Linked DNA regions of Ovis aries. The main gene of each other region encodes a partner of the protein of the gene in region 2 in a complex. Links are inferred from orthologs where the notes say so. Each region holds a gene or a part of one and is shown on either strand. Other genes may lie near its edges. The genes, in order: VGLL4, IRF2BP2, IRF2, BANP and ZBTB16.

Region 1 (5,542 bases), on a different chromosome or scaffold from region 2:
CTGAATCCTGCCCCCGAGATTCGTATGTCGCAGTCCTAACACCCCAGTGCTCAGAATCTGATTTACGTGGAGACAGGGTCATACGGGAGGGCACCCAGACAACACGACTGATGTCCTTATGAGAGAGAGTACACAGACACACACAGAGGGAAGACCTCGTGAACGTGAAGACAGACGTCTACAAGCCAAGAGAAGAGGCCTCACGTGAAACCGACCCTGCCAACACTCGGATCTCAAAGTCCAGCCTCCAAAACTGAGAGAGCAGCCGTCTTCTGTGTAAGCCCCGTGTCCGGGGTACCCTGATCCAGGAGCCCAAGCTAACTGAGGAAAGGAGGGCAGGAGGAGGGAAGACAAGGAAGCAGGGAAGAGGAGGGCAGGGCTGAGACCTGACTCTGCTGCAAAGACAGAACAGCTCTGGGACAGAACCGCTTCCAACACTTGGTCTATCCCAACTGACCTATCCCTAGTGGGACCGGTCAAGATGCGAGCAGCATAACTCCTTGAGGCCACTTCCAGATTAGAGCCTGCCTGAGAGGGGAGGGGCCAGGTGGCTGAGCAGAAAGCAAGAGGACTTCCTGGCTCGTGACCTGGAAAAGTGCAGACACAGCCTGAGCTGTGTCTCAGCAAGAATATTCGCAAAGGGGAGAGCAAGGCTCTCTCTGAAAAGCACAAGTATAGGGGAGGGTCCCAGAGATGCAGCCGGGGGCGGGGCGGGGGGCTCACTCTGACTGTTGGCAGGGGTAGACAGTGCAGACAGCTTCCAATGGTTTCAAACATCTGTCATTCTTCAGAGGCAAGAGGAGAAGGGGCAGAAAGAAAATCCCACAGAAAGGACAAGAATTCTGTAATTCCTAAATATCCATTCTAAATATACCCTCGGACGCTTTAGTAAGGTAAAGAGAAATAACCACCTGATATCAAAAAGCACTAACTGGGATTTCCCTGGTGGTACAGTAGATGAGAATCTGCCTGCCAATCCAGCGGACATGGGCTCAACCCCTGGTCCAGGAAGACCCCACATAGTGGCAGGGCAACTAAGCCCATGCACCCCAACTACTGAGCCCACGTGTCCCAGAGCCTGTGCTCGGCAGCAAGCCACGAGAACCCCAAGCACAACAGAGTCTCACCCCGCGCGCTGCAACTAGGGAAAGCCCGGGTCCCGCAACAGAGACCCATCGCAGCAACGCCCGCCCCCCAAATAAAGAGGCACTAATTGAAAATAGTGTTAGTCGCTCAGCCACATCCAACTCTGTGACCCATGGACTGTAGCCCAACAGGCTCCTCTGTCCAAGGAATTCTCCCGGCAAGAATACTGGAGTGGGTAGCCATTCCCTTCTCCAGGAGACCATCCCGACCCAGGACCTCCTGCCTTGCAGGCATTCTTCTACTGTCTGAGCCACCAGGGAAGCCCTGAAAATATTTTTAAGTAAATTTTTAAAAACTGCTATGTTTGCATTCCTATGTTGCTGTTCATTTACCTAGCAGGTTTTACATCATTTAAAATAACCGTGTGGCTACACTGTAAAGCAATTATACTTCAAATAAATAAACCAATCAAAAAAAAATTTTAAACTTTATCTCCAAAGATCAATACTCTTCCAAATCAGTTTGCAATCTACTCGATTATATGAGAACTTGAAGGTTCCTCTCCCACTTAATTTGCATGAGAACTGATGGCCTATTTTAAAATAAGTATAAATGGAGTGCAACCTTTCAAAAGGTGTGATCTTGGGACTTCCCCGGTGGTCCAGTGGCTAAGACTCCATGCTCCAAATGAAGGGGGCCGGGGTTCGATCCCTGGTCGGGGAACTGGATCCCACGTGAGACAGTAAGAGTTCACAGGCTGCGACTGAAGACCCCGCGTGACAGCAAAGATCGAGGCTCCCGCACGCCGAAGCCAAGGACCTGGTGCGCCCAAAGAAATAAACACACACTTGAGAAATGAATAAATTAGCAGACAGGTGTGACCTCGGCCAAGTCTCTCCACCTCTCTCGCACCTCTGTCCTCAGCTACCGTGGGAGATCACAGTGAGCATCAGTGGAAATTTGCAGGAAGTTTCCAGCCCAGAACAGCCACCTGTTCCATTTCATCCTTTGCTACGACTCCCACAGAGAGGACGAAAGGGGACTTCTCCAGGGTCACTCCCGCTCTGTTGGCCAGAGGTCAGCGGGTGAGCCGTGTCCCGCCAACTAACAGCAGATCATCGCCCCAGAAGATGGGTCAGGGAGGGGCCCCACCTGACCACCGGGAGGCGGCAGGCCATCTCGGGGCAGCTACCTGACTGCCTGGACTGCCGCCACGTGTGTTAAAAAGACATAAACCCACACAGCAGCCCCGGCCTGTCTCAAGGAAAGTTGAGACACGGGAAAGTTGGCACAGCGCCCAGAGCTCCAGTGCCCCTCCAAGCCCCAGGCACACTTTCCACACCCTCGCTGGTTCTGGACACCTTCCCTGCTCCCCCAGAATGCGCTCAGAATTCCTTGTGACCAGCGCAGCCACCTCCACTTTCCAAGCCCAACCCCAACGTGGCCTGCTGCCCCAGAAGCATCTCTTGTAAAACGGCCCGGTGGAAGCTCCCAAACTACAGATATTTTGATCAACACCATCGTGTTTGCTATAGTCTCTCGAGAGGCAAACAGGTACAGTCTGGTTCCCAGAAATATATATGTTCTAGTCCAGACCTGAAGGAAGACGACGAGGCTCCCAGGAACCAATGCAGAATTCACACGCGAACTGCCGTCCGCACTCCTGAAGGCCAGGCTGGGCCCGCCTACCCCAACACGGGATCTCACGCCAGCTCCGAACCCCCGCCACCGCGGAAGCCTGCAAGTCGCTGGGGTGTGGCAGACACCCCAAGTCCAGCATCTCAGAAAGCCCTTCTGCTGTCCGCACAGAGGCGGCAATCCACCCGATTCCTTATCGTTGCTCCACAGGCTGGGTTCAGGAGCCAGAGTGAATTTTCCAAGGATTAAAACAGGACACAGAGTTCAAAGACTCCACGATGCCGAGGGTGAGCGCAGCACGGGGATCTCAGGCACCCATGTGATCTAAGCGCCCAATCCCCGTGAAGACCGGTAAAATAAGCAATTTAAAGGAAGATCTTTGTCAGCATTGTCACTCAAAGATCCAAGTGCCCAAGGGCATAATTCTATTTTCTCCAACTCTTTGTGTCAAAATAATTTTAAAGCTACTGGAACTGTAATGAAAAGTGAATATCCTATTCCCCTTACCTTGATTCATTTTGTCTGTCTACACATATCCAGCTTTTTTTTTTTACTATAATTGCTCTAATTTGCAAGGTAACTTGCAGACATCATACTGCAAGCACTTCAACTGTCTTCTCAGAGCGAGAAGAGTCTCCTTCACAGACACAGAACCATCATCACACCCAAGAAAGCTAAAGCTGGCATAATGTCGTTATCTAATATCCAGTCCAGATTCAAATTTCCCCAACTGGACTGTCTCAGAAAAGCAGGGGGATGAAGCAGACAGAATCCAGGATCCAATCAAGACCCTGGGTGACAGAGCTGCCGAGTCTCTAGTTTCCCAGGGACTTTTTCTGTCTTTCTTCCTCTTCTGTGTTTTTTTTTAAATGATATCTTTAAATGAGTGTGTGAGTGCGCAGTCGTGGCCATCTTTGTGATCCCATGGACTGTCTCCCTCCAGGCTCTCTGTCCATGGGGTTTCCCAGGCAACAATACTGGAGCACGTTGCCATTTCCTCCTCCGGGGGATCCAGGCCAATGAACTGCCCTACAGTTTCTGGTGGTCTGATGATTTCCCCGTGATTCGATTCAAGGTGAACGTTTTCGGCAGGGAAACGAGAGGAGGTGTGCCCAGCATGTGGCCTCACACGGGAGGCACCTGATGCCTCAGCGTACCACCTCGGGTGACAGTAAGCTCCACTGCTTGCTTAGGGTGATGCTCACAGAATTTCTCTACCCTAAAAAAAGTAACCTTTCAGAGTAACATGGGTGTGAGCATCCCGTCGGGTTTCCCAGGTGGCTCAGTGGTCAAGAACCTGCCTGCCGATGCAGGAGACACACAGGCGATGTGGGTTTGATCCCTGGCTTGGGAAGATCCCCTGGAGAAGGAAAGGGCAATCCACTCCAGTATTCTTGCCTGGAGAATCCCATGGACAGAGGAGTCTGGAGGGTTATAGTCCATGGGGTCACAAAGAGTCGGACACGACTGAAGCACCTCAACACATCTTGTCATGCTCAATCTCCTTCAGTTCAGTTCAGTCGCTCAGTCGTGTGACTCTGCCACCCCATGAACCACAGCAAGCCAGGCCTCCCTGTCCATCACCACCTCCCGGAGTCTACCCAAACTCATGTCCATCGAGTCAGTGATGTCATCCATCCATCTCACCCTCTGTCATCCCCTTTTCCTCCCGCCTTCAATCTTTCCCAGCATCAGGGTCTTTTCCAATGAGTCGGTCCTTTGCATCAGGTGGCCAAAGTATTGGAGTTTCAAGCTTCAACATCAGTCCTTCCAGTGAACATTCAGGGCTGATTTCCTTTAGGATGGACTGGCTGGATCTCCTTGCAGTCCAAGGGACTCTCCAACACAACATCTCATGCTCTGCTGCCCCGTTCTCTTGCCCTCAACCTTTCAAGCATCTCTTTCCAGTGAGCGGGCTCTTCCCATCTGGTGGCCCAAGTACTGGAGCTTCTAATTGCGAAGCGGTTTAGAATCCAGCCCCTCCTAAAGAAGGTATGGGATTGAGAACTGGCAGAAGAAAGGAAGAACCGTGGTTCTTTTGAAAGAGCTTTCGTGCCTGCCATGTTCAGAGCAAGAACTATGCCCCACTAAGGGAAACACAAAGATGTTTGAGATCTGATCTTTGCCTCAAGGAACAGCAGTTCTCACAGGAGCGATAAGTCACGGAGATAAATAACAGGTAAGGAAGAACTAAAAGCAGAAAGAATAGAGATGCTCTTGACACGAAGGAGTGGTGTGGCATACGAATCGTATCTCAATAAAACTGTTACCCCCCCCCCAAACTGCTGAGGACCACAGAGGACTTCTGCTACAAAGCTTCTGTCAACAATCACCATATTAGGAAGTGAAATGGAGGAAGTTTTCAAATAGTAATTTGAAGATAAAAATACACTCATTACAGGTTAAAAAGAAAAACTGAGAAGCTATGGACACGTCATATGAGGAAGACATCAATTCTAGCTCTAATAAATATACTCAGGAGTGGAATTCGAAAAACAGGTAGAATTTCGACACTTGGAAACTATGGAAATGGGCATTCCAGTTGGGGACAGCTGTGGGAATAAAGGCCGAGAGCAGGAATGGTGTCCTGTGTGTGAGAGGTCCATCTAAGTAGAAGAAAGGGCTTGTTGCATCTGTTGGTTAAGAGGTAAGGCTATGGAGATCAGTGGGTCAGATAATGCCGGGCTCTGAGCACGGGCAGAGTTCAGATCGCATGGCCGACAACTGGGGGGGGGGGCCACTGGAAGAGGTGACACAGATAGGGGGGGTCTGAAGACACCGCGATGGGCACAACTGAGCCAGGGGACGGGGCAGTCAT
Region 2 (6,188 bases):
GGAAGACGAAAACAAAGCTCTGTTTACTTAGCATACATCGATAAAGCTGCTTCGGAGAGACATGAAAGGCCAGGCAGCATGAAAGACTTTAGATACAATATAAGGAATTGCTGCTCTGGACCCACGGCCAGCCTTAACCCCCTTGATTCCGGATCCTTTTATGGCAAGAGAAACCAGAACTAAAACAAACCTTTCCATCTTCCAGTGGGCATTTCGTTAGGGAAGTTACAACAACTTGAAGTTTCAACACTAAACTGGTAGTGTAAAATAAAAAGGAAATGCTCTTCATTTGGAGAAGAAAAGCTCTGTTCCATAAAAACCCTGACTTAGTACCCCTCAAGGCAGAATTTGGAGCTCAGTGTTTCTATTTTGGGATAGAGCGACAGGCTGTCCCACGAGGATATTACAGTGCCTGCCTGCTTGCAGGTAAATGAGTAAAATTAGGCCGTGGCTGTAACCCCGAGTTGTTTCCTTTTAATATTTCCACCCCAACCTACTGAGGCCACTTCTTGGGGGTATTGAGATGGCTCATCTCTCTACAGCACAGAGCCTGGGTCTTATTCCCTTTGGTTAGTGCCCTAGTGGCTTAAGTTACATGCTAGGAGAGGCTCTGGGTCTCCTAGGAGAGTGACAGGTCCTGAAAACGGTGCATGATAGCAGGGACCAGGTGTGGCCAAATCCACCAGTTGCTGGGGATCGGGGTCCTATCCTCCCAGTTAGAAAAGGGTGAGGCAGGATTGTAATTGCAGGGCAAGATCCGGGAGCAGTTGGGGAGACCTTTATGGAGGCGCACCTTCTCTGGAAATCCCCACAAGACATTCAGGCTTTGCCTGCAAAAACATTTAGCTCTGGCATTACATTTTCTGTGCCATTTTCGAACAGATTTTCTCATGTGCTTTAAGCAGCTCCCTCCACTGTTTCTCTAAGGGTGTTTTTCCTCTTCCCTGTGGTTAATTCTTTGAGGCAACCTGGCATTTTCAATAGCAACAACTAGAGAGAAACGTCAGCAGGATTTTTTTCTCTCTCCACCTACCAATCCAGTTGTAGGGAAGATAATATAATTAGTACCCTGTTCTTCCCACACTTAACCAGCTCATTCCAGTCTCAGGGAGAGAGGTGGGCCTGTTTTCCAACAAAGGAAGCTCGGGAGGCCGCCCTTCCAGAGCTGAAGTGTAAAGGTCCCAACTGAGAGTGACTAAGCCCGCGTCTATTAGTCAGAAAGACTAACGACCAGCCAAAAGTGATTTACCATAACACACGCCAGCTCCTCCTCCCGATAAAAGTGTGAAACTCAAGTGCTCAATTCAGTCTGGGCACAGCCTGTGGCTGCCAACGGTGGCAGAACGCGGCGAGACTGGCTGGCTCTGCACCCACATGTCGCCTTCGCGCCAGGCGGGTTTGCACCCACCTAACCCCATCCTGGGCGGTGTGGTGGGCTCGAGGTCGGCCCTGCCCACCCAGCGGGGCCGGGAATGGCTGAGATCTGCCGGGTCCGCGTGACCCGCAGGCCAGCCTGCCGCTCACCCCCAAGCGCGCGCGGACCCCACCGCCGCTCGTGCCCATGCCCCGCGCCACCTGGAGTCCAAGTTTGGCCCCGTGAACGGGGCCTGGAGGCCTAGAGTCGCCGGCGGGGGGGCGGAGCCTGCGCGGTGACGCGGCCTCTTTGGCCGCTGACCCCGGATCCCTGGAATGTGCATTCGTTCAATGGAGCCGCCAGTGCCAGCGGCGCCGAGTCACGTCTGCGCGGAGCGTGCGCACTCGGCGGCGGCGGCGCACGCGGCCCGCGGCCCCGCGCCCACGTCACGCGGCTGCCGCGCGAACCTGCGCCAGGTGGCCGGGACCCCCGCGCTGTAGCGAGGGCCGGCCGGGAGGGAGCGCGGGGTGCATTGCGCGGTGCTGCCGCTCCCTCCCGGAAGGGCTCCGAGAAGCGGCGGGTGGACTCGATCCTAGGCCTGAGAGCACGCCCTCTTTTAGTAAAACTTCAGGGGACCGGCGGCGCCTGTGTCCTCCCCAAGACCATGCGAGTGTAAAAGCGCTTGCCGAAGAGTTCAAATAAAGCTCCTTAAAAGATGTTTAAAAACGGACAGAACCAAGTTACAAAGTGGCCTTGCTTTTCAAAACACGAGTTTTACACGGTTTGCTCTAAACGGATCTGGAGGAGAGGGAACTCGGCTCGAGTGGTCGAGGCAGCGGAGCGGGTGCAGGGAAACAAGCTGCGCCAGCCACGCGTTCACGTCGGGGACACAGGGCGCGGCGCGGACGGGAGGGCGGGCACAGAGGAGCCGGCTCTCCCAGCAGCGCCCGTTCTGCGGCGGGGGGAGGGGGCGGGGGGGGGGGGGCGCGCGCGCGAGGGGAGGGGGCCCGCGCAGGCGCCTTGCGAGGCTGTCGAAGAATCAAGTCTGTAGAAGTGGAGCGGCCGCGGCGGCAGCAGCAGCAGCGACGGCGGCGGCGGAGCTGAGGCGGGCTGGGCGCTGACGCGGGCGCTGGAGAGCGGCGACGCCAGGAGCTGTGAGAGAGCAGCGGAGCGACCCGGGGTCCGCGCCGCGTCCGAGCTCCGCGCCGCCCGGCCGCCGCCGCCGCCGCCGCCGCCGCCCCGGCGCGGCATGCCCCGCCGCTCGGGCTGAGCCTGCCCCGGCGGCCGCCCCCCGCCCCCCGCCCCCCCAACCTCCCCGCCCCCCGCCCCGCACTCCGCGCCAGCTGCCGCCGCGACCTGCTGCGCTCCCCCGCGTCCGCGCGGCCCGTCTTCGCCCCGGTCTGGAGGCCAGCCGCGGCTCCAGCCGAGCCCCCGCCGCCGCCGCCGCGCCCGCCGCGCCGCGCCGCCCCGCCGCCCGCCCGAGCCCGCGCCGGCCGGGGGGACGTGCTGCCGCGGCTGCAGCCCCTCGCCCCGCGCCCGCCGCCCCTCGTGCATCGGGGGCGCTGCGCGGGCGCCGAGCCTTCGCGGGCTTTGCCGCCGCCGCCGCCGCCTCTGCGGCCGCCGCCGCCGCTGGTGGGGGAGACGCGGGGTTGGGGGGGGAGGAGGGCGCGCGTGGTGCCGGCGGGTAGCGGCGGCGCCCCCTCCTCCTCCGCCTCCTCCTCCTCCTCCTCCGGCGCCGCGGGCTCCTCGGACATGGCCGCGGCTGTGGCGGTGGCCGCCGCGTCTCGGCGGCAGTCGTGCTACCTGTGTGACCTGCCCCGCATGCCCTGGGCCATGATCTGGGACTTCACCGAGCCCGTGTGCCGCGGCTGCGTCAACTACGAGGGCGCCGACCGCGTCGAGTTCGTCATCGAGACGGCGCGGCAGCTCAAGCGGGCGCACGGCTGCTTCCCGGAGGGCCGCTCCCCGCCCGGCGCCGCGGCCCCGGCCGCCGCTAAGCCGCCGCCGCTCTCGGCCAAGGACCTTCTCCTGCAGCAGCAGCAGCAGCTCGGCCACGGCGGCCCTGAGGCCGCCCCGCGCGCTCCTCAGGCCTTGGAGCGCTACCCTCTGGCGGCCGCCGCAGCCGAGCGGCCCCCGCGCCTGGGCTCCGACTTCGGCGGCAGCCGCCCGGCCGCCGCCCTGGCCCAGCCGCCGACGCCGCAGCCGCCGCCTGTGAACGGCATCCTGGTGCCCAACGGTTTCTCCAAGCTGGAGGAGCCGCCGGAGCTGAACCGCCAGAGCCCGAACCCGCGGCGCGGCCACGCCGTGCCGCCCACCCTGGTGCCGCTCATGAACGGCTCGGCCACACCACTGCCCGCCGCGCTTGGCCTGGGCGGCCGTGCCGCCGCCTCGCTGGCCGCCGTGTCCGGGGCCGCGGCCGCCGGCCTGGGCTCGGCGCAGCCCGCCGAGATGGGCGCCCACAAGCGGCCGGCGTCCGTGTCGAGCAGCGCGGCCGCGGAGCACGAGCAGCGCGAGGCGGCGGCCAAGGAGAAGCAGCCGCCGGCGGCCTCGCACCGCGGCCCGGCCGACAGCTTGTCCACCGCGGCCGGGGCGGCCGAGCTGGGCAGCGAGGGCGCAGGCAAAGGCCGCGGGCCGGGCGAGCAGGACTGGGTCAACCGGCCCAAGACCGTGCGAGACACGCTGCTGGCGCTGCACCAGCACGGCCACTCGGCGCCCTTCGAGAGCAAGTTTAAGAAGGAGCCGGCCCTGACTGCAGGCAGGTTGTTGGGTTTCGAGGCCAACGGGGCCAACGGGTCTAAAGCAGGTAGGGGCGGCTGTGGAGTGAGGGGGTTTAGGGGCGAAGCGGGGCTTGAGAGCCGAGGAGGGGGTGCTCTTCCTATTGGCCGTTCTCCCCCGGCCCAGAAATAGCAAACATCCAACTTCCTGATCTGCTCGAGGCGGAACCAGTGCTTAGTGGCAACGTGTTCCTCTGCTGAAGCAGCATAACAGAGATGAGTCAGATGGACCGATAGGCAGCGACACAGGGCTTTCCTTTCCCAGCACATTCCTGGATGCGAGCATGAGGGCACCAGTCACCTTTTAACCTGAGGGTGGGTGGGGGGGGGGGGGGATTGGGGGGCGTTAACTCTCATGTGCACAGGGCAGCCTGGGTACTTGCAGGCCTGTGGAAGAACAGGCAGTGCTTTCCGTGCCTTTTTTTTTTTTTTTTTTTAACTGCTAGACTGCCTCAGAGCCTTCTCAGTCTAAGTGGTTTAAGTTGCACGTGCTCTTGAAACTTGGTTTTTCTGTACCAACTTTGGAGAATAGAAATTCTTCAGAGGGTTGTGTTGTGTGTTAGTGAAAGAAAGATCCTTTTTAGTGCACGTTCATTTATTCTTTTCCCCTTTTCTATCTTTGTTCTTCCAGTTGCAAGAACAGCAAGGAAAAGGAAGCCTTCTCCTGAGCCAGAAGGTGAAGTCGGGCCCCCTAAGATCAATGGAGAGGCCCAGCCGTGGCTGTCTACATCCACAGAAGGGCTCAAGATCCCCATCACTCCTGCATCCTCTTTTGTGTCGCCACCACCACCCACTGCCTCACCTCATTCCAACCGGACCACACCGCCTGAAGCGGCCCAGAACGGCCAGTCCCCCATGGCAGCCCTGATCTTGGTAGCAGACAATGCAGGGGGCAGTCATGCCTCGAAAGATGCCAACCAGGTGCACTCCACCACCAGACGGAACAGCAGCAGTCCACCCTCTCCGTCCTCTATGAACCAAAGAAGGCTGGGCCCCCGAGAGGTGGGGGGCCCAGGGGCAGGCGGCGCCGGAGGACTGGAGCCAGTGCACCCCGCCAGCCTCCCAGACTCCTCCCTGGCCGCCAGCGCCCCGCTGTGCTGCACCCTCTGCCATGAGCGGCTGGAGGACACCCACTTTGTGCAGTGCCCTTCTGTTCCTTCGCACAAGTTCTGCTTCCCCTGCTCCAGACAAAGCATCAAACAGCAGGGAGCTAGTGGAGAGGTCTATTGTCCCAGTGGGGAAAAATGCCCTCTTGTGGGCTCCAATGTCCCCTGGGCCTTCATGCAAGGGGAGATTGCAACCATCCTTGCTGGAGATGTGAAAGTGAAAAAGGAGAGAGACTCGTGACTTTCCGGTTTCAGAAAAACCCAATGATTAATCTTAACTAAAACTGCTTGAATTGTATATATATCTCCACATATATATATATCCAAGACAAGGGAAATGTAGACTTCATAAACATGGCTGTATAATTTTGATTTTTTTGAATACATGTGTTTCTATTTTTTTTTTTGACGACAAAAGGTATGTACTTATAAAAGCATTTTCTTCTTTTGTTAATGTTATTAGCATATCTCTGTGCTTTATTATCCTGGTGACAGTTACCGTTCAATGTAGGCTGTGACTTGCGCTGCTTTTTTAGAGCACTTGGCAAAGCAGAAACGCTTCTAGCTGTATTTGTATGCACTTATTTTAAAAAGAAAAAAAAAAGCCAAATACATTTTCTGACATTGTAAGATTGCCTTACTGTCTGTTGTTATTTACTGCTGGCCCGTTTCTCAGGCTGGAGGCCAATTGGTGGAGAAGGAAAGGAAATGAGGAAAGGGGCAGTGTTGTGAAGTGGGCATGCCACTGAGAAATGTCACCAAGTTCCCCCCAAACATTGCCCTTTCAGAGTAACAGGAAATCGATTGTGAATCTTTCTCGATTTTGTTCTTAAAGTTCAGTTGTTAGGTTATTGATGACTGCCTGAGAGTTGCTGCTGAGAGATTTTCAGGACTGTGGGGGGGGGTTTATTTGGGGGGGGGTGATTTTTTTTTTTTTTTTAAGGCAGAGTTGAC
Region 3 (5,542 bases), on a different chromosome or scaffold from region 2:
GATCACTTCCTCCATGACTTTCACTACAAGTCTCAATGAAAAGGTTCAAATCAGAGCCCTCTTTTAAAATATATATATATATATTTATTTCTGTATTTGGCTGCTGTGGTGTGTGGGATCCTTTGTTACGGGATGCAGGCTTCTCTCCAGTTGCAGCACACAGCTTAGTTGCTCCACAGCATGTGGAATCTTAGTTCCCCAACCAGGGATCAAACTTGCATCCCATGCATTAGAAGGCAGATTCTTAACCACTGGACCACCAGGCAAGTTCTTCGAACTTGAGTCCTCTTAAAGCACTTTTCTTTTTGCTGTACCCAACAAACACAAGCCTGCTCCAGTTTCCTGAAGGGCCCAAAGTCTTTTCTGCTGGTGGCTGGTCTCCCTTCTCTCAGTTATCACAAATCAATCCTTTGTCTTCTGCCTTCTTCTCCATCCTCTCATCCAGCCTTTCCCCCAATACTAATGTGATTTCTCTTACTAAACCACCAACAACATAATAAATAATCCCTGTTCACACACCGGAATCTTTAAAAATAAAAAGGACTCTTCTCTAGAGTTTCCCAAGGTTGGGCTTTGGGACGTCCGGTCCCAGAATAAATTTTCATGAATCCAACTAAAATTTCACGTTGTCTTCAAACAACATAATGCAAGTGTGCGTGTTCAGTAGTTAAGTCATGTTCGACTCTTTTGTGACTCCATGGACTGCAGTCCACCAGGTTCCTCTGTCCATGGGATTTCCCAGGCAAGAATACTGAAAAGGGTTGCCATTTCCTCCTGTAGGGTCTCTTCCCAACCCACGGGTTGAACCCACGTCTCCTGTACTACAGGCAGACTACTTACCACTGAGCCACCAGGGAAGCCCACAGCGCAAGTACGTCCACTCAAAGAAACTGTCCCTTTTTTTGCTCAACATCACATTTAGACCACGGAGAAGACTGACTTGCAACAATGAATGTGGTTTTTGTAATACTACTGGGATTCTATTTCAATGATCAGTAAGAAGGAAAAAAATAGCAAACAACTGCCTCCAAATACCAGTTTCCTAAATGAATGAAAGTGGTTAGAGGAGGCTGAAATTCACTTGAATAGTCCAAACAAAGGGACCCTGTCATGAAAAACAGGCAAACAGCCTATTTTTTTGTGGAGACCATAAACTTTAAAAAGGAACACAACCAAGAAGCTGTCTTTCCTAGCAGCAAGCTATGGAATTCCTGACTGAAAGATTTTAGCTACCCATGGTCAGGAACAGGTAAGTTTCTGGTGTGTCCTGGGTTCTAGAAAAGTAGTAGTGATGACTTACCTTGGCTCTATCCAATAAGCCTCCCTGCAAAGGGTTCTGGAGAATTCAGACAATGAAAACAATGGAAAGAAATAAAGGCCAGGCTGAAACACCAGGCTCTGAGCAAACCCCCGCTGCCTGCCAGCCTGGCACTAAAATCCTTCTTTTCAAATCTTGCAAATGTCCTGAAAAGGGTAGTGACATTTTCATTTCTCTCTGCATGAATCAGCTGTTCTTGGGATTCTTCTGCGAAGGCAAAATGCTACTGCTGGCAGAACAGCAAGAAGAGGCCCTTCCAGAATCCCCAAGAACACTTCAGAAAACTCTTACTCAACAGATAAATAGAAAAGTTGATTCTAAAGCACTAACCCCTTTAAAAACAAAACAAACAAACAAACAAAAAACGATGTAATAATGCCTACAGTGCATGAGACACCAAGTCACACATTTTCAGCCATGGTCAGGGAAACAAAAGCAAAGTGGCTGAGAGTTTCAGGTTTCAGTTATCTCCACTGTAAAATCAGGGCAAAAACACTTGGCTCTGCCTCCTCTGGTTGGCCCTTGAGATCCTGGCATGTGGACTGCTCTGAATGGCAGAGCCCCTCGAGTTCCTGCAGGGCAGCATGGCAGTGCAAGGGCTAAGAACAGTATCAGCCACGCGTGGGTCCCACTGTGCAACAGGTTGTCCATCTCTGGACACACTGCTTCACCCCAGCAGCCTTAGATACTTAATTTTTAAAGACATAATAATGACAGTACCCAGGGTTATTCTCCTGACAATTAAATAAGCCAGTCAACATCAAGCACTTAGCATAGTTTCCAGGGCACAACGAACACGCAACAAACAGTATCGTTACAGTTTCTATTACAGGGACTAGTACACACAGGAGTTCAAAATATGTTTCATGAATAAATAACTGATGACAAGCTTAGCCTGTTTGGCAGATTATAGGCCTCTTGTAGCCAAGGTTGCTTCTCACTTTCCTTTTATGTTTGCAGCACAAAAGAAAGTCAGGACCTTGAGGACATTCTGCGAAGTGAAATAAGCCAGTCACAAATGAACCAATACTGTATGATTGCACTTATATGAGGTACATAGAGTAGCCAAATGCAGAGAGACAGAAAGTAGAAGGGGGACTGCCAAGGGGCTGGGTCGGGGGGCAGGGGATGGGGAGTTACTGTATGTCAGGCACGAAATTTCAGTTTTGCAAAGTGGAAGAGTTCTAGAGATGGACGGGGTGCTCCTTGCACAACACTGTGAAGGCACTGAATGCCGCTGAAACGTGCACTTAAAAATGGCTGAAGTGGGGGGACCTCCCTGGCCGTCCAGTGGTTACGACTTCTCGCTCCCACAGCAGGGGGCATGGGTTCATCCCTCCGCGAGGAACCAAGATCCCACATGGCACAGAGCATGGCCAAAAAAAAATCATAACAAAAAGGCTAAAGTGGTAAATGTTATACTACGGATATTTCACCACAATTGAAAAAAATTAAGTTGACATGGAAGCAAGTTGGGGTTCAGGAAGCAGAAGGTTAATTTAGGGGCTGCTAATGTACAAACAATGTGTCACATGAATCCACCTAATTCTGAAGCCGACTCTGTGCCAGTCACTGGGGTGGTGCCCAGACTGAAGGACAGGCTACTGGCAGGACATAAAGAGCCCTGGGAAGAATTCCTGACCTGAGCGACTGTGGTTATCCATCAGAGGACATCCACTTTTTACCTGTAGTATCTGCAAGGAATAACCCTGACTCAGACCTTACATTTCATAATTATAACCGAGTCCCAAAAAGTCAAGTGGAGATCATCAGAAGGAGGACGTAAGACGTAATATTGGTGGAGGAAGGGAGCCACCACTTTATCCTCTAAGGATGGGAGAGCCCGCTGAATCTGGTCCTAACACTGTGACATCGGGGCCAATTTCTGCCAGTCTGGGGACATTCCCTAGAGAGTTCAAAATGCCCAATGAGAAGCTCTGCTAAACTGAAGAAGTGGAACCTATGTGGAGATGACAAGGAAACTTGGCAGAACGAGAGAATGGAACGTGGGGTCTGCAGATTCAGTTCAAGTTCTGACCCAAACACTTACTGGCCTGGAGCAATCCCTTCACTTCCCTTCACTTCCGATGAAGGAACTGCAAGAGGTGATCCCTAAGGTCCTACCCAGGTGGGACAAACTCAGATCCCATGAAAAACACCCTTCCAAATTTCTGATAATGTGTACAAATAAAACAGACACAGATGAACTGTTACACTGGCCAAAACTTTCGTTCAGGTTTTTCTGAAACATCTTTCTATAACATCTGTAAAATCGAACATACTTCCCCCCCAAAGAAATCTTCTAATTTATAAGTCATGTGTGAATATGTTATGGGCGATCAAGTGAAATGTGACCAAGACGTGGTACTGTGAACAAGTGTCTAAGAAAATGTTGCTTGAGAACATTAAAGCCAGAGTAATTCCAGCCAGAGTAATCCTTAGGACGGAGGAGAGGTTCTCTGCTGTGCTGGCAAAATGTGTTAGACTAAAGGACCTCCCTGCCTTGTTCCTTGTTCAGTGGCAGAGATTCTGACCCACCCACCTCCTTACCTGCGTAGGAAGACACGGGGGAGATCTGCAGGGGGTAGAGCTCACTCATGCTGACTGGCTGCTCATCGCTCTCGGTGGTCACCTCCACAACTTGGCAGATGTCCGGTGGGTTAGTGACAATCTCTTGATCCTCATAGGTGCCGTCCAGATGTGACTGTCCTACAACTTTAAAGAAAAGACGGCCATCATGTGCCACCATCCCCAGCCTACACCATCCTGGCACGCACTCTCAAGCAAGAAAACCTCCCCCGAGAGAGCCCAGGAGCTGGAGTCCCAGTTATCAAATGTCATCTGCCATGAAATAAGAACAAGCCTTCGCTTTGGGTTAATGTCCCTGGAGAAGCAGCTTGCCAATAACCTGGCTCCCCAAGGCTGAAATAGCCCTGCCAACGGTGCTCACGTGTGGCAGCACCCCAAACTCAACCTGCCCAGGGCCAAGGCTGCAGGAGCAGGGGCCGCATCCAGACCTACCCCAGGGTGCAAGAGGGAACACTGCTTCGAACCTGACCCGTTTCTCTTCTCTGCTCCTCCTCTAAAGGAAGCTGCTGTGCTAGTTTCTGGGTCCTGGGGTCCAGAGAGCTCATCAAACTTTAATAAAGTGGAAGGACCACCAAAATCCACCCTATTGTGTCATGTCTAGCTGTGGGATGCTCTGTTCATACTCTCCGCCCTCCTCCTCCTCTGCAGGCAAAGGATGTCATATCGGAACGACTGAAAAGACTGCCTTCCCAGTTCTAACACACCTTCGCAGCATCAGCTCCTCAAGACACTTGACAGGATGACCACCTTGGCTCTGAATCCTGCCTCAATCTTTTTTTAAATCAAGCTTTTCAGTTTGAGATCACTGGAGAGTCACGTGCAGTTGAGAGATAATACGGAGATCCTGCACACCCTTTGCCATGTGTCCTCCAAAGGTAACACCTGATAAAACTATCATACGGTATCAGGATATTGACACTGATAATCATGCGTCTTGTTCAGATTTCCTTGTTTCACTTGTACCCCTTTGTGTGTGTTTGTGTGTATACTTAGTTCTGGCAATTTCATTACACACGTGGTTTCATATAGCCACCACCACAGTCAAAACACCCAACAGTCTAATCACCACAAGCATCTTCTATAACCGTTATCCACCGTCCTTCAGCCTCCTCCGCTTGTTTCTAACCCCTGACATCCGCTCATGTGTTTCCCGTTTCTGTAATTTTTGTCGTTTCAAGCATGCCTCACAGATGAACTCACACAGTAACCTTTTGAGATGGGCTGTTTTCACTCAGCATAATTCCCTGGAGATTCATCCAAGTTGTTGTGTTTATCAGTAGTTGGTTACTTCACACTGTTGAGTAATATTCCATGATGTGGATGTACCATGGTCTGTTTTTATTCACCCACTGAAGGACTTGTTGTATGTTCCATTCTTTGGCTATTATAAATAAAGCTGCTGTGACCATTCATGCAGTTTTTATCTGAACGTAAGTATCCGTCTTTGGGACAAAGGCATAGGAGGGCAATTGCTGGATCACGTGGTAATTAGAGGTTTAGTTTTACAAAATGCTGCCAAAGTAGCGTACAGAACAGCTATACCATTTTACGTTCACACCGGCAATGTATGGATGAGCTCACTGATGCACATTTTCGCCAGATTTTGGTGTCATCACTACTTTTTGACTTTACTCA
Region 4 (5,542 bases), on a different chromosome or scaffold from region 2:
ATGCCACTTCTCCGATAGGCACTCTCCAGGCCTGGCGGGTCAGTCCAGGGAGGGTGTGGCAGGGAAACAGCTAATCCCCTGCTCAGGGCATCTGAATCGCTCAGATGTTGACCAGACAGCCCGTGGCAGCTCCACAGGACTCGTCCTCGCCACTTAGGCGCACGCGCCATCTCTGCTCCGTCTTCACAAACCCCAGGCCAACCGAGGACACTCAACCTGACACTCAGGACACTGCAACTGCGGGGGGACCTTCCAGAGGACAGTGGTAACCTCCTACTCAGACCCCCAGAAAACCTGTACTTTTTCCCTATAGATAGTAATACTAAGAAGCTCAAACTGTGATTCTTTTATGTACATTCACATCTGACTCACATTAATCATACCACATTAAGAAACAAAAGAAAATATCTTCTGTTTTTATGATAATCCCAGACTCCCCCAAATGACCCCATGTCATGTTTGGAGCCGATGCCATTTAAACCAAACAAATCAGGTCTAAAGTAAGTAGCCAGATCTAGGGAGGTTAATTTACCCAAAACCCACATGGATGAAGAATAAGAACTTTCTCTGCAGCTGTTGCAAGTGTAATTTTCATTCGCCGTCCACCAGGATGAAGTCAGGAGCACCTCTCTTCCTCACATTCAGTAAGTCATAGAGTAGCACCCCTGACCCAGCAATTCCACTCCCAGGTATCAGCCCCAGAAAAATGAAAACACACGCAAAAACCTGCACACAGATGTGCAAAGCAGCACTGCTCACGACACTCAGAAAGTGGGCACAGCCCCGGTGCCCACTGACGGGTGATGGACAAACAGCACGTGCCTCCGTGATGGGCCGTCATGCGGCCAAAAAGAAGAATGGAGCACCGGTGCGCGCCACAGGAGGGTGCCAGTGCTTCCCTCAGGCGAAGCCTGCACGACCAGCAACCCGAGACAAGAGGCTGGTCAGAGGCGGCGGGACGGAGGACGGGGCACGGGGTCCTGCCATGCGGTCTCTCTGGGGAAAACACCCCGGACTTAGACGGTGGTGCTGTGCACTCTGTGAACGGACTAAAGCCTGCCAGCACGTCTGCTTTAAGATGGTCAGTTTCATGGAATGGAAACCTTCTGCCCGTGCCCACTCTGACATCTCAATCCTGCAACTTCTGTTAGAGTTAAAAAGAACTTTGTTTTCAACATTTTAATGTGGTAACAAGTCTTTCAAATGGGACAATCTTTGTCTGTAGAAAAATCTACACTTTTAGGAAAAAATCAACAATTTGGACAGAGGAGCAGAAACACCCCACTAGCCCTCTCTAGTTAACAAACTACAACTTAAGAACTTGGTGACACGATGCTACATCTGCCGAGTAATCACATCTCTTTCCAGGCGCTGTCATAAGGCCTGTTTGGGAAACATTAACTCAACCTTCGAGAGCAGGATAGAGCTGCCAGGCGGCAGGAACTCTCTGGAGCACAACCAGGCCACCTCCCAGACCCAGGGCCAAGTGACAGTGGACCCCAGACCCCACAGGAGAGAGGACGGTCCCCCTACATCACATTGGGCAGGGGCGGCACAGCTCCCAGCATGGCCTCGACCTGGACACACAGTCCCTCTGAATGGAAGCCTGACCCTTGTCAGAGACACAGGACAGAGCTGTGGTAAGACAGGTGAGCCGACCACCAGCTATCAAGTCACAACTGCCCATCACCAGAACCAGATTCAGCTAGTGAAACTGATTGAAAACGATTATGTAAATCAGTATTAACATGGAGAGATTTCTACCATGCAGTGAGGAGAAGCAAGTTATAGGATGGTAAATACAGCATGTGATTTGTAGAGCTCTCTGGGCCAGAAATGTTTCCAGTTATTCTCACTTCCTTCGTCATTTTTATATTTTATCATCTTTCAAAAGCAATAAATATCTATTACTTTTCTAAACAACGGGGGGGAAAAAGCCTGAGCCCTGTGGGCATTTCACTCTCCACGTGGTCAGAAATTCACACATCACTGCCAGTCATCCCTCTCCGTGGTCGCCAGTGAGCAGTCCACGTGTCATGGGCCCTGCGGCTCCAGCCCATGCTGTTCAAGGGCCACTGCACACCCGTTACCTCACGTGTGGAGAGGACGCACCTTCCGAGTTCAGGGTGATGAGGGTGACGTTGTTGCCGATGTTCTGGCTTCCTGACTGCCCGCAGTTGGAGACGGAGTCGCTGGCCTCAGACCCGCTCTCCCCATCCTCATTGTGGCTGTCCTCCTGACCCGGCACCTTCACCACGATGGTGTTCTGCCGACGCCCGGGCACCGCGCTGCGCGGAAACAGAGACACCAGCAGCGTGGTGAGAGCACGCATGGCAGCACGCGGAGACAGTTCTGCACGCACGCTCCCCCTCGCATCCCAGAGAGGCGTATCCCGGCACGCGCGCCGCGCCACCAGCCTTCCCGCAGCTCTTCCTGCTCACGGTAACAGCAGGAAGCAGTCTGCGGCTCCAAGAAACTGCACGAAACTTGAAACGTTTAAAGAAGTGAAATCGCAACAGGCTGTGACTTGAGGCCGGGCCTCCCATCACGGAGCGGGCCCTGCACAGCACTGCTGTCGGGGTCATAGAGACTTCTGGGAAAGCGTCTGCAGACTCAGATGACAGCCCCGAACTGCTCCGTCCCGGGACATTCTGAACAAGATGGCCCGGGAGGACGCAGCTCTTGCTCCCAACTGTCCCCCGCTGACAGAAGCCGCTCGAGCGGGCTAACAAAGCCAGTCAAGAGCCTCCTGGGGGACCCTCTCACCACCACAAGGGACCCTGATGTGGAGCAGTGAGACACCGCCAGGAAACCAGACCACCACAGCTCCAAAACATGCTCAAAATAAAAAAAAAATTTATCTGGAGACATGTGACCCTTCGACTTCCTTCAAGAGACGGCTGCACCCAGGGAGGGGAAGCAGTGAGAGGTCCCTGCTCGAGGGGGCTCCATCCCGGGGGTGGGGGTCGGGGCTCCATCCCGGGGCTGGACCTCACTAAATGCTCTGGACCTGCCATGACCGCCACCCTCGCCAGGCCCGTCTCATGGGCTGTCTGCTCTGTGGCCTTGGCCCCGTGTCTGCACCCACCTCCCTTGGCCGGGCTCCTGGGGGCCTGGGCCACAAGGAAGCAGCAGGACTGCTGCAGGAGGGCCTGCGAGACTCGCTGGGAAGCAGCATGGCGGGGCCAATGCCACGGGGAGGGGGGGCCCTGTACATGAGGGGCAAAGATGCCCGCCACGCACCCTCGCCTCAGCTTCAGGTTACAGCCAAAGCGTCTCCAGAGAAAGGAGTGGAGAAGGCACCACCTCTACATGCCTCCACCACTTTGCCAATGAGACGGGGTGTCCGCCGACCCGACATGCTCGGACAGACAGACAGACAGATGGGAGTGAGGTGAGAGGACAGGGCGCGCGGACCACAGTGAGCACACAGGGCCCGAAGACACGGGCGACCTGGACGCCGCCCCGTCCCCGGGGCCCGGCAGTGGTGGTGAGAGGTGGGGGTCGTGCTACTGACTTGCTAATGACATTTTCCAGGGGCTCCGGTGCCCTGCCGCTCAGGGGGTCTTCCATCTTGGCTACAACGGCGTTCTGCCGATCACTGTTGAGAATTACTGTAGTCTGGGGGACGACGCTAGGGAACAAAAGAATCACAGAGAAAAGAAGACCTTAACACGACAGCGTTCATGGAGAGCAGAGTCATCAACAGTCAGCGCCCCTGCCCTGCTCCAAGCAGGGGAGGCCCAGCAGGGCTCCCGACGTACATGAGCAACACCGGCAGAGGGCCAGCTGGGGCGGTGGGGGCTTCTTAACAGAGTCTAAGCCTGCTCCTAGTTGGTACCAGCAGGAGAAGTGGCTTAGGAACGTTCACATCTTTACGGAGAAGAGACAGGTGTCACAGCTGTCACTCTACAGTCAGGGAATTCCCTTCTGAAATCTAGGCTTTCAGTCCCTTGCCAGGTGAGAGTGCTGTGCGCAAAGGGACAAACCTTTGTAGCAGGGGCCACGGGTGACTGCACAGCACTGACCACAGGGTTCTGCCAGGCCAGTGCAGGACCCACAGCCCAAGGCTGGAGACTGTGCTTTGAAGAAAATCGTGCTCAAAGAACTGTGCCCTGACAGGGGCTGTTCCTCAGGGGAAATGTGTGTTTAAACACGTGGGAGACACAGTCGTCGAGACTTCTTGCTCCTGAGACCTCCAATCCTCGGTGCTTCTGGCCACGCCTTGTGCAGAAAGAACAGGTGGTCAGGATGCACAGCTATGTCACCCGGGAAGAAAGACATCCCTAGACCTCACCCCAAAAGATCAGCGCTGGGAAGACCCTGTTTTTACAGGCGGAGCACTCACATACCCCAAAGCATCCATGAGAACCCCACCCCACAGTCCCAGACACATACTGTCAACACTCCCAAAATCAGAGGTACAGATGGTGCCATTTCCTGCCACTTGACGCAATGAATCACAGGACCATGGGGTGTTTTCCTAAAATAAACCACAGTCACTGTGCTCCATTCACAGCCGTTACCATCTTCTCAGTTATTCTACTCAGTTGTCAGTGACACCCAGGTAATCCCCCAGGCCCTGACAACCCACCCACAGGTCAGCATCATAGGTGGCCAGGTACCGAGGTGACATGTACGGGCTCCTATGTGACGGCCTCAGCAACGCATGTGTCCTAACAGGAGATGGGATTTTCCCAAGTGTGTTCCCGGAAGGCTGCTGTCACCCAGGTCCCCACACAGAGACACCCATCTCCTCACCCCAGTGGCGTGTGAGCCCTTTCACGGGCTGAGAGGTGAGCCACAAACAACAGGTTAAAACAGGCTCACACCAATGTCTGGTAGAATCGTTTACTAAACGGGCCTCTGCTTCCCACAAGACCTCAAGGTAGAGGGAACACTAGTCTGAGGCAACCGCTTCAAGCTGGAGCAGAGGCAGCCCAGGGGCACCTGGCTCCGTAGGTGTGCAGGGCCCTCAGTGACTCAACCCCCTGAGGCCCTCCTTCCAGAAGGTACGGCGTCCTAAAGATGACCCCTAGGACAGCACCTCTGGCCAACGTGGTTGCTCCCTCTCACAAAGCCTCCCCTCAACCACACCAAGAAGCCCTGTCCACCCAGACGTGAGATAGGAAGCGCCCTGCGGGGGACACTCCTCACCACCTGCCTTCCACGAAGTGCACATGAAACCACGACTGCGGGTTTCAGCGCCCAGACAGTTGAACGTAATCTGTGGTGACGGACTGCTGAGGCTGCCGGCACGCACGGGAGGCAGTGAGGAGCCCTTCACCCCCCACACCCTGATCTACACAAACAAAGCTCCTCAGGACTCAGAACTGTCAAATCTGAGGACAGAAACCGAAGCGGTGCTGAGCCCTGCTTCATTGTAAGTGACGGATTACTCACACTAGCCAGAGATTCAGGAATTAACTCACACTAAAGCCCCATCCATCTCGGGGGGGGGGGGGGGGGGGGGGCAGTGGGGGGTACATTCACAATACTGCATTGTTAAGAATTAGTTGTAAACTAGTAGTAACTTGCATGG
Region 5 (6,080 bases), on a different chromosome or scaffold from region 2:
AGTATGGCATGGAGGTTGGGGGGGAGGGGTCCAGGGCCACAGAGGATTTCTTCTTTCCCATTGTTTCCCCAGAGAGTCTCCCTGCCTCTGATTGAGGATTAATAGGAGATTAGATCAGGGGTTAATTGTGTGCTTCGCCTCTTACCGCACTCAGGAGGGGCTAGTAGGTGGACGTGGAGAGAGGTAGCAACCTTCGGAAGGTACTATCTAGGCAGAAGCTAAATGCTTCAGTTAAATGCTTCCTTCTATTTCCCTGGTGAGGTGCTAGGACCATCCTCTCTCCTTCCATCTCTCTCCTCTTGTTCTCCTTGCGGATCAGTTCTTTTTTAAAAATTGGATTGTAGTTGATTTACAATATTGTTAGCTTCAGGTGCATAGCAAAGTGATGCAGTTATACATATATTTAGATTTTTTCCATTACAGGTCATTACAAGATACTTAATATAGTTCTGTGTGTGTGTGTGTTGTCTCTCAGTTGTGTCCGACTCTGCAACCCCATGGACTGTAGCCTGCCAGGCTCCTCTGTCCATGGAATTCTCCAGGCAAGATACTGGGGTGGGGAGCCATTCCCTTCTCCAGGGGACCTTCCCCACCCCAGGACTGAACCTGGGTCTCCTGCACTGCAGGCAGATTCTTTCCGGTCTGAGCCAACCAGAAACCCCTATAGTTACCTGTCGTCCTCGTGGTCCTGTCGTCCTCGTCGTCCTCAAGTCACTCAGTCGAGTCCGACTCTTTGCGACCCCATGGACTGTAGCCTGCCAGGCTCCTCCCTCCATGGGATTCTCCAGGCAAGAGTACTGGAGTGGGTTGCCATTTCCTTGTCCAGGGGATCTTCCCAACTCAGGGATCGAGCCGGGTCTCCTGCATTCCAGGCAGATGCTTTAACCTCTGAGCCATTTGTACGACACAGTAAATCCTTGTTGTTTATCACACCAGTTCTTTCTCAACTTTCCTTAAATTTCTTTCCTCTTACAGACTGTAGATCTTAGCTAGAAAAGTAGCCCTATCATAGACTGCTCTTTATTGTTCATCAGAATACCCAGGGACTGGGTTTTCCCTGGCATCCGTCAGACACTGCGGTGTAACTAACTCCCTTTCTTCACTTTCAAGTGGCTTCTCTCCCCCGACTCCTGCAGGCAGGTCTGAGCACTTTTCCTGCGAGGAGACAAGGACGGGCTTGCTGGGATGGAGCTGCCTGTTCTCGGGTCTGGTCCGTTAGCAGCTCTTGTGAACTCGGCTCAGTTCTGATGGAAACTCTGGCCAGCTGGCCTTGCCAGGCCGGAAGTGGATTTTTGCCTCTAGCGGGCTTCTGCCATCTTCCAAGACGCTTTAATTCTTGGGGCCTGACCCTCGGTTTGGGGCAGTGCCAGAGGGCGCATCGGGATACACTCATGCGTGTCTGGTGGGAAGCCTTTGACCCACCCCCTTGTCAGGGACAGGGTGGGGACTCCAGATTCCGTGATTGAAGCCCCGCATTGCGAAGATTGTATGACCTCCAGGGACGACTGTCTGGAGACCCAGCGAGGGCGCTCTCCACCACTACCCTCACCCTAGCCGGAAGTCAAGGTGTGTGCCCAGAAGAAGGGCGTTTTCCACCTCTCGCCCACCACCTTCGCCAAGTTCCAAGGAAAGGGTGAAGATGGGGGCTCTCCGCAGCCCGCGGAAGGGCGCATGTCTTCTGGTTGCTCTAGGGATTCCTGACCTCAGCTCCGCCCTCTAAAGTGGAGCGATCAGCAGAGAGGAGGCACTTTGGGGAGCCTGGAGCTTCTCCAGGCTCTCACTCGCCGCCCCCTGAAGACTTTGTCCCGAACTGAGCTCAGTTCTTGCGGAATTGCTTCCAGCCAAGGTTCCCTGGGGGCCGGGGGCGGGGGGAAGGGGGGCGGCGGCGCAAAGGGCGGGGGGGAAGTTTAGCGGATGCTCAAGACTGGCAAGAAGTTTCCCTCGCGCCTCGATCTTGGCCTCCAGGGGTCGCGACAGCTAAAATGGGGGCGTCTCCCCTCGACGACAGATCCCCGCGGGAGCCTCTGGCACTCGGTTCCCCTGGGCCCGCGAACTCTGCGCCTGGAGGCGAATCGCAGTCTGGATGCTCAGAAGGCCTGGAGGCCCCAAAGCGCTGGGCTTGGGTACCATGAAAACGAGCTTCTAAAGACGACGGCGGGGTCGAGGGGTGCCGTCCCGAGCCCCGAGAAAAAAGTGAAAGGCGAGATGACACGCACTCATGGGGCAAACGTTGGGAGAACAAAATTCTGAGCCTGGAAGCAGCAGGGAAACACAAAACCTGTTCCCACTGGAGATTAAAATTCTGGGGGTTGAAGATGGGGGCAGCTCCTCGCCCCTCATCTCCACTGCCCCCACTGAGACGCCCAAATCCCTGGTGCGCCTCTCCACGAGCTCCTCCTCTCCTCTCCGCCTGGCCGGTGAGCGGCGGCCGCCAGCGCCCCAGCAGCAGCTAGATGTCAGGCGAAGCCCGGCGCGCGGCGCGCGGGGAAGGGAGGGGGACTGCAGGGGAGGGGAGGGGTGGGGCGGAGAGCGCGCGCGGGCTCGGCCAGTGCGGGGGGGTGGGCGGGCTGAGCCGGGGAACGGCGCGGGAGGGGGGAGGGAAGGGGGGCAGCTGTGGGCAGGGAGCCGGGCTCGGCCGCCAGCACTAAAGATGGAGAGGCGCCGGGGCCTCGCAGGGGAGGGGGCTCGGCGTTGACGTGGGACGCGGCGGAGGCGCCGCAGCCGGTGGTGATTTGCTAACCTCGCAGCACAGAGGAGTTGAGGGCGATGAGAGCGGGTACTGCGAACTGCCGGGCGATGCCGCCGCTACCGCCGTGATACCGAGAGCAACAGTTCCCCAGCAACACCCCTCCCAGACAGAGGCACACACCCCCAAGAGGCACGCACACCCACCCCACGGCACCCGGCTCGGCAGCGGTGAGTTGGAGGCCAGGGAGAGGCGCACTGCCCAGAGATAGCTCTGCGCCCAGGCACCCCAGGGCTGGAGAGGTCTGGGGGGGGGGGGGGGCGCGCTCGCTTCGGCCACTCGACCGCTGGGCTTCTGCCTTATTTTATTCGGCTTGTTCCCTTCCTGCTGCTGCAGCCGTCGCCGCCGGCGGTTGGGGGTCGGCTGGAAGGGGGAGCCCTGGCTGTCAGCTTGGGCGCAGTTGCCTCCCCAACCTTTCCACTCCAGGGCACAGTCGGGGTGAGAAGTGGGGGCCAGAGCGGTCTGCGGGGCCGGGGGTCACAAGCGCAGGGCTGGGAATAGGAGGCTTTGTACCACCAGGGGCCGGCGGAGGAGCCGGGAGCCTGTGGGTGCTCATATGTATGCCGACCGGTGCGCGGGCGCGAGATAGGGCTGTGGTTTATTTGTGTGTTTATTCTCCCGCCAGCTGGGAAGCTAGGATCGGAGGAGTGGTTTTGGGGGCGGAGGGGAGCCGGACTGGGAGTCACTTGGGTTTTGTTTCTCTTTGGAAAACGTGGTGGGCTCCTTTTTCTTGATTGGACTTGATCCCCCCGGTTTTGGGGGGGAGGGGCTCCGTGGTGGAGCGCTGGAGTGTCTCCAGCGCTCCGGGCCCTCCTCGGCTCTCGGCGGGACCGGCTGTGGCGCCGGAGCTCGCTGTGCGCTCCCGGCCGCGCTCGGTGGGTGCTCCGCTCTGCACCTGATGCGTTCGGGATGCCTTTCCCACCCCTGCGCGCCGGCAGCTCGCTCTCACAGCCCCTCGAACACTCCCGCACGCGCTCGAAATGCGCACGATCTCGCCGGCCCGCGGACCCGCTGGAACGCACAGACGCGCTCAGCACCGACTCGCTGGCCGCTCCCCGGAACGCTCGCAACGTGCCTGGGCCGGGCGCGCCTGCTGCTGGCGCCACCCGCCCGAGGCCGGGGACCTTGTCCGCCGCTCGCGGGGATCCCCGCCCTGGGTTGGAGAGAGAGGGCCCTCAGATCCCTTCTCGCCTTTCCTCCCACAACTCGTCGGGCTTTTGTGCTTCCCCTTCGCCTCAAGGCGAGTCCGCCTTCTCGCCTCTCTCGCCCCAGCATTCGGCCCGCCTGAACTCTTGCCTTTCGCCCGGGTCTCTTTCGCTTTTCTTCTTTCCTAACCCAGCTCCCTTTCTCGTTGCCATCTGGTTTCCCCGGAAAAGTTGCTTCCCCAAGTTTGCTGAAGTCGTCTCCAAGTCTCCGGAGGGGGTGGCTGGAAACGGGGTGGGGGGTGAGGGGCGGGAAGGTGTGAGCGCGCGATCGATCCCCGGAGCTCGAGCTGGTTAGCGCTGGCTTTCCGCCGTGACGAGGGGCACGGCGCTGCAGCCAGCACCAGCCGGCTCCCGGGCGCCGAGCCTCGGGTTTCGGGGACGGCTGATCAGGGCACCCTGATTTCCTTCAGGACCCACGGTGCTTGCTTTGGGGAAGGAATTCGGGTAGACTAGCTTCCATTCTTTCGATTCCTACCTCCTAGTTCTCTGAAACCCAAAGTCTGCGGGGAAAGCGCATGGTGGCAAGGCGCTTGTGAATGGTCACCCCCCCCCCCCCATGGCCTCCGTTCTCACCCCAGGGTGGGGAGCAGAAGTGTCTTCTTGATTGACTGCCCTGTTAACCCTTTCTAAGTAAGATTTGTGGCCTGGAGTCAATAGGGTTCCCTTTGGGGGCGGAGGCCAGCAGTGTTCCAAGAGGAAGAGCCCTTGCTCTGCGTTGCTCCCAATTGATTTCACAGCAATATTGGCCACAGCAAGGCCGAGGCTGGGAGGGACTTGGGCCTGTGAGATCTTTCAGACACGCTTTAGACAGGTTTGGGAGACCCAGAGCCCTGTTACTGATCGCAAAGAGCACTTGGAGAGAGGCCTTTGTCTCCAGCTCAATCTTCCCTTCATGCTGGTAACTCACACCATAGATGCTGGTGCCAATATCACCTCTCACCCCTTGGAGCCAGGTGTAGCAGTCCAGCATCAATTCCTCTTTGGGTCATGGGACTTGCCCACTCCCGGGAGCCTGTGGGAGATCCTGGGGGTTTGTGTTCCCAGCACATGCACTCCTGGCTTTAGGGGTACCTGTTTTCTAGGATCTCTCTGTAGGCCCTTCAATCCCTAGCCTGCATATTACAGGTCCTCCTCACTACTGGGCACTTGTGGGCAGGAGATAAGTGCAGCACATTATATAAGTGTGGCACGTAATGTAAGTGTGGACACGTGTGCTTGGGACTTCCCAGGTAGTGCAGTGGTAAAGAATCACCTGTTAATGCAGGAGATGCAGGAGACGTGGGTTCAACCCCTGGGTGGGGAAGATCCGCTGGAGGAGGAAATGGCAACACACTCCAGTAGTCTTGTCTGGAAAACTCCGTGGTCAGGAGCCCGGCAGGCTACAGTCATGGGGTCACAAAGAGTTGGACACGACTGAGCATGCACGCACGCACGTGTGTTAACTGTTTCTGTTTCTTTGGCTGGTGCACGCACATACATGCACACTACACAGCTGAGGTTTTGGATTACTTATACAGTCACTTTGAGGTACCCATGATTGGGAGTGAGCCAAGCTAGTTCATAGACTATGTGTGTGTATTTCTCTTAGGGCTTAAGGAGAGGGTCAGGGCGTGGGTTCATCAGCCATTGGCAACCCTGAGAAGAGTGGAAGGGTAGAAACCCAGGAAGGCATTAACTGAGAGTGAAAAGGTGGGCTGGAGGAGGAGAACCTTGCCTGTAGATTTCTTTGAGCTGCTACTCTAGGCTGCTAGCCCCAGCTTGGCTAGGTGTTGTTCCTGGGGCTACCACAATGAGGCAGGATTTAGAGAAACTTTGTTTTGAAGATGAGATTTGCTGCACAGGGGGTTGAAAGTGAAGTTGAGTGCTTACACTGACTAGAAGAGGGGGTTAAATTCTTACTCATTTAAGTTAAGCACTGGGCATCTTCTCACAATCAATGTTGACTTTGCACAGGAGCCCCCCACGCTCAGATTTAAAGCTCAGGACTCACAAGACTCCACAGTAATTTTCATTTTACTTCTTCTAACAGATGTCATAGACCAGTGAATTAGGCCTGTGTTATACAGCAGAACCTTCTCTTTACTCCCATCATTCTTGGGCCTGTAAAGGCAGTCATGTAGATTTCTAGG

The links.
Region 1: the proteins of IRF2BP2 (region 2) and VGLL4 are in contact, whole or in part, in a crystal structure (PDB 8YTF), measured with the Homo sapiens proteins. The link is inferred for Ovis aries from reciprocal best matches to the Homo sapiens genes IRF2BP2 and VGLL4. Residues at the interface, in NP_892017.2 of Homo sapiens: Thr516, His517, Phe518, Val519, Gln520, Pro522, Phe531, Leu557, Trp564, Ala565, Phe566, Met567, Glu570, Thr573, Ile574; in NP_055482.2 of Homo sapiens: Arg161, Ser163, Val164, Ile165, Thr166.
Region 3: the proteins of IRF2BP2 (region 2) and IRF2 are in contact, whole or in part, in a crystal structure (PDB 8YTG), measured with the Homo sapiens proteins. The link is inferred for Ovis aries from reciprocal best matches to the Homo sapiens genes IRF2BP2 and IRF2. Residues at the interface, in NP_892017.2 of Homo sapiens: His517, Phe518, Val519, Gln520, Pro522, Phe531, Leu557, Trp564, Ala565, Phe566, Met567, Glu570, Thr573, Ile574; in NP_002190.2 of Homo sapiens: Arg331, Ala332, Ser333, Val334, Ile335, Lys336.
Region 4: IRF2BP2 (region 2) and BANP share a complex: the UniProt entries of both Homo sapiens proteins name them as parts of the corepressor complex. The link is inferred for Ovis aries from reciprocal best matches to the Homo sapiens genes IRF2BP2 and BANP.
Region 5: the proteins of IRF2BP2 (region 2) and ZBTB16 are in contact, whole or in part, in a crystal structure (PDB 8YTH), measured with the Homo sapiens proteins. The link is inferred for Ovis aries from reciprocal best matches to the Homo sapiens genes IRF2BP2 and ZBTB16. Residues at the interface, in NP_892017.2 of Homo sapiens: Thr516, His517, Phe518, Val519, Gln520, Pro522, Phe531, Leu557, Trp564, Ala565, Phe566, Met567, Glu570, Thr573, Ile574; in NP_001018011.1 of Homo sapiens: Arg285, Ser287, Val288, Ile289, Thr290, Ser291.

Annotation. Positions count from the first base shown.
Region 1 is NC_056072.1:55,573,289-55,578,830, forward strand, and holds part of VGLL4 (transcription cofactor vestigial-like protein 4), read right to left. Parts: 5' UTR 2,867-5,542; coding exon 2,683-2,866; intron 1,906-2,682; coding exon 1,711-1,905; exon of another isoform or gene 1-1,710. UniProt on the Homo sapiens protein: May act as a specific coactivator for the mammalian TEFs.
Region 2 is NC_056078.1:6,782,205-6,788,392, reverse strand, and holds the start of IRF2BP2 (interferon regulatory factor 2-binding protein 2), read left to right. Parts: upstream 1-2,401; 5' UTR 2,402-3,106; coding exon 3,107-4,157; intron 4,158-4,759; coding exon 4,760-5,475; 3' UTR 5,476-6,188. UniProt on the Homo sapiens protein: Acts as a transcriptional corepressor in a IRF2-dependent manner; this repression is not mediated by histone deacetylase activities. Represses the NFAT1-dependent transactivation of NFAT-responsive promoters.
Region 3 is NC_056079.1:14,058,577-14,064,118, forward strand, and holds part of IRF2 (interferon regulatory factor 2), read right to left. Parts: intron 4,034-5,542; coding exon 3,869-4,033; intron 2,310-3,868; coding exon of another isoform or gene 2,209-2,309; exon of another isoform or gene 1-2,208. UniProt on the Homo sapiens protein: Specifically binds to the upstream regulatory region of type I IFN and IFN-inducible MHC class I genes (the interferon consensus sequence (ICS)) and represses those genes. Also acts as an activator for several genes including H4 and IL7.
Region 4 is NC_056067.1:12,963,748-12,969,289, reverse strand, and holds part of BANP (protein BANP), read right to left. Parts: intron 3,635-5,542; coding exon 3,518-3,634; intron 2,289-3,517; coding exon 2,113-2,288; intron 1-2,112. UniProt on the Homo sapiens protein: Controls V(D)J recombination during T-cell development by repressing T-cell receptor (TCR) beta enhancer function. Binds to scaffold/matrix attachment region beta (S/MARbeta), an ATC-rich DNA sequence located upstream of the TCR beta enhancer.
Region 5 is NC_056068.1:24,301,559-24,307,638, forward strand, and holds the start of ZBTB16 (zinc finger and BTB domain-containing protein 16), read left to right. Parts: upstream 1-2,673; 5' UTR 2,674-2,916; exon of another isoform or gene 2,917-3,184; intron 3,185-3,562; exon of another isoform or gene 3,563-3,621; intron 3,622-6,080. UniProt on the Homo sapiens protein: Acts as a transcriptional repressor. Transcriptional repression may be mediated through recruitment of histone deacetylases to target promoters. May play a role in myeloid maturation and in the development and/or maintenance of other differentiated tissues.